Linked DNA regions of Kluyveromyces lactis. The protein of the gene in region 2 purifies or fractionates together with the protein of the main gene of each other region. This does not show direct contact. Links are inferred from orthologs where the notes say so. Each region holds a gene or a part of one and is shown on either strand. Other genes may lie near its edges. The genes, in order: HSP60 and POR1.

Region 1 (4,009 bases), about 540 kb from region 2:
CATAACTGTTATTTTGAAGTGCCTTATTTGGTGGAATATCTTTGTTTGCTTGCCATTGATGATAATTCAACATCGATCTTAACAGTTGGCAGTGAATCCAACCTTAATTTTTAAACGTCATCTTTTGGCAAAATCAGGTAATGCATACTCATAAGTTATGGTACTGCATTTTCAATGTAACAAGATGACGCTTTTCAGTTTTCATAAATTAGGGCGTGTGGTCTAGTGGTATGATTCTCGCTTTGGGTTAATAGCCTAGCGAAGCTTCGATAAACGAGGTTTAACTACTGCAAAGCATGCGAGAGGCCCTGGGTTCAATTCCCAGCTCGCCCCAAATTTTTTTCTTTTCACTCTGCTTTTTCCTTTTTCTCTGTACCTTCTGGAGAATGCTAGCCATCCTGTCAAGGACAGAGGAAGTGTTGAAAAGCGGGTTGATGATGAGGAAACTATTTAAACATGTAGAAGTATCTTTTTATTTACACGGGATCGTCATTATACGTACGTTATATATTCATTTAAATAAAAGTGGAATGTATTTTAGGTGAAAAAGCTAATGTTCAGTAAAAATTCTTGTAATTCTAACATTTTTTGACGGTTGTTTTCTTTGATCTGTTTCACTTTTCAAGTTTTCAAGTAATTGTTCCACTTTACATCATGCCTGGCATACCTGGCATACCACCTGGCATAGCTGGAGCAGCACCAGCTGGCTTTGGAGCATCAACGATAGCAACTTCAGTGGTAGCCAATAGAGAAGCAACACCAGCAGCGTCTACTAGACCGCTTCTGACAACCTTGAATGGATCGATAATACCAGCAGCCAACATGTCGGTGTATTCACCCTTGGCTGCATTGTAACCCTTGGTAAAGTCTTGGCCGTATTCATCGATAATCTTACCGACGATAACGGAGCCTTCTTCACCAGCGTTCTCGATGATCTTTCTAGCTGGTCTGGAAATGGCCTTTCTGATGATGTCAACACCCAACTTTTGGTCAAAGTTTTCTGTTGCGACTTCGTCCAAGACTCTAGAAGCCTTTAGCAAAGCAGTACCACCACCTGGCAAGATACCTTCTTCGACAGCAGCTCTTGTAGCGTTCAAAGCGTCATCGTAACGGTCCTTCTTTTCGCCGACTTCGACTTCGGAAGAACCACCGACTCTAATGACGGCAACACCGCCGGACAACTTAGCTAAACGTTCTTGCAACTTTTCCTTTTCGTAAGAGTTGGTAGTGGTCAAGTCAATAGAGTTCTTGATTTGTTCAATTCTGGTTTCGATGTTTTCTTTTGGACCGTTACCATTCAAGATAACGGTATCTTCCTTGGTAATAGAAACAGAATCACAAGAACCCAAATGTTGGATGGTAGCGTTTTCTGGCTTTAGGTCCAATTCTTCAGTGAAGACAGTACCACCAGACAAGATGGCAATATCGCCCAAGGTGTTCTTCCTGTTATCACCGAAACCTGGAGCTTTAACGGCACAAACTTGAACTTGACCTCTCAACTTGTTCAAAATACAAGCAGCCAAAGCTTCGCCATCAATATCTTCGGCGATGATCAACAATGGTCTTCTGGTTTGGTTTGACAATTCCAAAGAAGGCAAGATATCCTGGATTGAGGAGATCTTCTTTTCACTCAATAAGATCAAAGGTTTTTCAAATTCCACCTTACCAGATTTAGCGTCGGTAATAAAGTATGGAGAAATGAAACCACGGTCGAATCTCATACCTTCAGTGACTTCCAATTCATCTTCCAAGGTTCTACCCTCTCTGATAGTGATGACACCTTCCTTACCAACTTTTTCCATGGCTGAAGCCAACAACTTACCAACGTGAGCATCCCCGTTGGCAGAAATAGTTGCCACTTGAGCGATTTCAGCAGAAGTGGTGATTTCTTTCTTGTTCTCTGACAAGTATTGAATTACTTTTTCGACAGCAGCTTGAGTACCTCTTCTCAAATCCATTGGGTTACAACCAGCTGCAACATTCTTAACGGATTCAGTGAAAATGGCCTTACCTAAGACAGTGGCAGAAGTGGTACCGTCACCGGCAGCTTCGTTTGTCTTGGAAGCAACTTCTTGTAAAAGCTTAGCACCCATGTTTTCGAACTTATCTTCCAAAGTAATGGCTCTAGCAACAGTAACACCATCCTTGGTGATCTTTGGAGCGCCAAATGGTTGCTCAATCAAAACGTTTCTACCTTTTGGACCCAAAGTGGCAGAAACAGCTTCCGCTAGAGTTTCAACACCCTTTAACAAGGCAGCTCTACCTTCAACACCAAACTTTAATTCTTTGTGCGAAGAATATAGACGACGACTCAACAATTGAGTGCTTCTCTTCAAGGTCAAATTGCCTGGCTTTACGGTACTTCTCAACATAGTGACTATTCTCGTATATTAAAAAATCTATAACAGGTAAAGAAATCAGAATCCAAAAAAAAAAAAACACCACCTACTGGAAAATGTTACTTTTGCTTCGAAAATCTTGCTATCACTAGTTCCTTCAGCTAATGTCACAAAGAAGACAACAATCAATCAATCAAAAAACCACTTAGCTTCTAGTAATCCTTCCAATCTTATAATTATTTGATCCTTTATAAATCCTTTTTTTTTTTCGCCTCTACTCCTTCCTTTATATTCCGTGAAAAAAATATCTAAAAAATGAAGATGATAAAATCGAGAAATTTGGAAAGAAAGCTACACAGAAAATGGCATATAAAGTTGCGGATCAACCGGTCAGATTACACATTTAAGAGAAATAGGAATAAGGATTCGAACAATAGTTGGGTTAACTCTTACTAGATAGCAGCCAGCCATGTCCGCATTGCTGAACTCCACTGCGAGCCCATAGAATTCTTTCATTTTCTGCCAGCTAATTAATTCCAAAAAAAAGTAGTCAAAGAGTTAATTAAAATTCCTATATACACACAAGAGTTCTATCCTCTTCTGTAATCGTGAGGCAGGTTCCGCTATTGTCGATTATTTTTTTCTGGCAGTTTCTCCGAGTTCGCTATTCACCACCATTACCTAACTGAATTATTTTTACCTAATATAACCGTCATTCGTCCATTTTTGTTATAGACATTTGGATGTCCAGTTTTTTTGGATTTGGCTTTTCGCCTGGAGAATCAGGAGCTGTACATCGTTTTGAATGATGCCTTATGGCCGCTCACATTATTTTCATTTTTTTTTTCATTTTTCCAGAAAGTTCGACAGAAACGGTCATGAAATAGTTTCGCTATTTGATCACGCTCTCCTCGACAGTGCGGCGGTTTGTAGGAAGGAGTTATGTTTTCGATAGTATCGATTTAAGTCACGTGATGTGTAGATGCCAGGCAAAGAATTACTCGATTGAGGTTTTTTTGGCTCGCTGGACTAATGTACTGAAGCTGCTGCGATCTATTTGCCAATCACGTGCGTAAGTGTTTCATTTTGTTGACATGAAATTAACTGACTCGCCAACTTTTGACACGCGACAGAATTCTTTGCTTCACTTGACATTTGAACTAATCAATTGACACATGATTTAAATGAATGTGTTAGGTAAAATCAGGAGCTGGTAGAGTACAGTGACATTGCTCACTACAAGTTTTAATTGGTTAGTTGATTAGTTTTTTGGGCTTCATCTCAGGCTTGTGTTTTGTGCACTTTTTATCTCTTGAAATATTCTTATTCACTCGTGAGCAATTATTATTTGGTACTAATCTTTAATATCGAAGAATGCACTCAAAAGTCCCAGTTGCGTTTCAAAATTTAGTATATTACCAAGATCATTGTTGCTGCTTTATCACAACTAGGAAATGTTACTTGTTGAGTGGATATGAAAAGCAGTTTTTTCTTTGAATATAAATAAATGGTCAACTTGAGTATATGGGTTGTTCGCGTCAGACATTTTTCCCCGAATGACCTTTGGACTTGATATAGTATTGTCACAGCGAAATAGTACTTTGATATGAATGAAATGCTGGAAAGTACACCTCTCAAACCGAATAGCACCGGCTGTTCTACTCTGTCAG
Region 2 (3,120 bases):
CGGATGTATGGAAGCATTAGCCAGTTTTGAGAATGGCAAATCCTCATTGAAGCCTGGAACAATTTGTTTAGAGAATAAAAACTTGAATCCCAAGCTCTCAGTAGTTTCAACATTCAACGCATCAACCACAGAGGACGTCATTGATTCTGTATGTGTTCTTTTATCTGTGCCGACAGTAGTAGTTTCAATCCGTTAGTGTATTAATATAAACCTCAGCTGCTTATTAATTTGTAAACCTTGAATTTCAATGGGCATCAGTTGCAATGTTCAGTGCTTGTACAGGTTTGAAGCTTTTTGATGATAGCTTTGAAGTAAACAAAGTTCCAAAAAGAAGGAAATTATCAATCACGTGATCCGGAAATCAGTATGAGGTTAGTGTTCATGTTTTATTGTCTTTACTATGACATGAATGTTTTGAGATATAAAATTTTTTAGATGGTCATTAAAGAATACGTATTTAGTTAGGTAAGTATCTTCGAAAGAAGTAGGCGTTAACATTGTAATTGAGGCCATATCTGTAATGAAAACAAAGCGGATATTGTTGTTCTGAAAAAAAAGCGAACAAAATGAAAGGCAATATATATATATATCGGTATCAAATGGAACGCCAAGAAGAATGATACTTTAGTTGAATGTGAATCATTTCAAAATTGATAACCTAGGCTGGTGATCCATTGGACAAAGCAAAATAACATAAACTTAGAAAAAAGTAACACTTCTTTTTAACACTTGTGTAAAATTACTAAGTATGCATTTAAGCAGCGAACGATAGAGACCAACCCAACTTGTGGACTGGTTCAGCCAACTTCAAAGCGTCGAAAGAAGCACCAATACCTAGAGTGACACCTGGTCTCAATATTTGTTGGTAGGACAAGGCGACGATACCGGAGTCAGCAACCTTAGCCTTAACTTGAGAAACGGCGTCCAAAGCGTACTTGGAAGCGAATTCAATGTTGACATTAGAGCCAGCTTGAGGGTTCAAAGCAGCCTTAGCACCGACTTGCAAGATTGGGGAAACCTTTTGGAAGAAGGAAGCGGTGATCAATTGAGCGTTGTTGACGGACAAACCAACGGAATAAGCACCAGAAGCGTTGTAACCCAAAGCCAAAGCGTAACGGGAGACGGCACCAGCAGAGATGTCATAACCAACTTCAGCACCACCAACGAAACCTTCGTGAGCCAAGGTCAAGTCACCGACGAAGGATGGACCCTTCAACAAATCGAAGAAACCTCTAGCAGCAAACAAAGGTTGAACAAAGTTAACGTTCAACTTAGCAGCCTTAGAGACACCTGGAACACCAGAAGTGATCAATTCAGTCTTCAAGCCTGGAGTCAATTCAGCCAATTCGATCTTGGTGTCCAAAGTGTTGGCGTTGTTCCAACCTTGGGTGAAAGTCAAACCAGTAGACTTGTCAGAGGCCTTAACTTCAACGTTAGCAGCAATTGAGCCATCTTTTGGAGAAGTTTTACCCTTAACAGTGAAAGCAACACCGTTTGGAGCAGTGGTCTTAACGTCAACAGAAGCTGGGGTAGCGTGGAAGAATTCCTTGTTCAACAACCCATTGATGTCCTTGGAAATATCAGAAAAGAATGGAGGAGCCATTGTAAATCTTTGAAGTTATTTTTTGTTAGAGGGCGGAAGCAAGCTTTCGGAAGTGCGATTGATCTAAATGTGAATCAATTAGAGTTCAGTCAACCGCTAAAACCAAGAAGGAACTACTACATAACACAAAAGCAAGAGACAGACACCATTTTAATTCGGTGTGCATCCAAGATTTTTCGCAAATTTCCCAAAAAAAAATATCTCGATCTCTTTCATTTATATATAATATCGATTTTATAAATACAAATAATGACAATGTGAACTTTTCTCGATTTTTCACAGTTTTCAACAAAAATACCGTGTAGCCAGAAAATGTAAACATTGGAAAGCACAAGGCTTCCCAAGTGAAAATTATAGGGGACGAGAGATTTAATACAGTGGGAACGCACGTCTATAGTGGGGTAGCGGGGACTGCTATACGCAACTGGAGAGTAGCTCAGTTTTTTGCCTGAGGTGTCGTTTTAAGAGCGGATGTCGGACTAACTCACTTTGAGATTCTTTACGCACTTGCTCTCGAGCATATATCTTGTAGATTGTACATACTGCATACAGATATCAATCATTTGAGGCTAAATAAAAATGGCTATATACAGGTTATTGATGGAAGTGTATAGAACACGTTAATTGGACTATCATGTTGCAATTATTGATAGTTTGGGTCTACACCCCATGTGCTTTGTAGTCTTCCCTATTTCAGTTTGTCTTAATCTATCACTCCGGCACTCTTGAGAGCTCTACACAAAAACCGAAAGAAAATTAATTAAAAAAGAGACCACGTAATGATTGACAATTGGAGGCGACTCATTTGCGCCGGATATATCTGGAATCCTTTCTTGCATTTTGATTTCCGACTTTTATTAGTGCTGACTCGAAGAGACACGCAGTGGGACCGGGGTGATGACGTTCGCATTTAGAGTCACGTGAATATATCGCTATGTACGCAACAATTTTTTTTTTCTTCCAACAGAATTGTGTATGTGTGCATCTCTCCTCTTTCTAGTTTGGTTTTCACATGGCGGAGGCAAGATTCTCCACTTGGTGTGTAGATTTTCTTGTTAAACAGTCACGTGAATATCCGAGAAATCGGTCCTTTGTCTCATATACCGGAAAAACGAAAAGTTATCATGAAAACTAAACTTCGAGAACAATAATTAGGCTTTATAAAACGAAATTCCACTTTGAGTTAACAATATGAAAATGCAGTTTCCTAGTAGTAGAAAATAGTTAGATATACCTTGAAACTGAAAATGATGTGGTAGTATTGTCTTTTGAAATATAATGGCGAATAGCATCACACCAGTGACAGTTCACATTCGCTTTTTGACAGTTGACGACTGCATCTGTGTTTGTTTTCCGAAGTCATGATGAAAACCTAAACATCTCCCTGTTGCCCTCTAATCCTCTGAACGGTATTCTTGCATGATTGAAAAATACGTAGTGTATTTTTCAGTTCAGAACTTGTCGTTTGAGTCTCAGGAATATGTACCATGTAGAGAAATATAAAGCAAAGATACATT

Evidence for each region.
Region 1: the proteins of POR1 (region 2) and HSP60 purify together in Saccharomyces cerevisiae (affinity purification with mass spectrometry, with the first as the bait; 3 studies listed by BioGRID). This does not show direct contact. The link is inferred for Kluyveromyces lactis from reciprocal best matches to the Saccharomyces cerevisiae genes POR1 and HSP60.

The regions. Positions count from the first base shown.
Region 1 is NC_006042.1:871,244-875,252, reverse strand, and holds HSP60 (chaperone ATPase HSP60), read right to left. Parts: upstream 2,373-4,009; coding exon 648-2,372; downstream 1-647. Other genes in the region: SCS3 (Scs3p), read right to left, coding at 1-3; KLLA0_F09427g (MFS transporter), read left to right, coding at 3,946-4,009. UniProt on the Saccharomyces cerevisiae protein: May participate in assembly and/or disassembly of proteins imported into the mitochondrion. HSP60 are ATPases and have affinity for unfolded proteins.
Region 2 is NC_006042.1:333,087-336,206, forward strand, and holds POR1 (porin POR1), read right to left. Parts: upstream 1,604-3,120; coding exon 755-1,603; downstream 1-754. Other genes in the region: FG-nucleoporin NUP159, read right to left, coding at 1-141. UniProt on the Saccharomyces cerevisiae protein: Non-selective voltage-gated ion channel that mediates the transport of anions and cations through the mitochondrion outer membrane.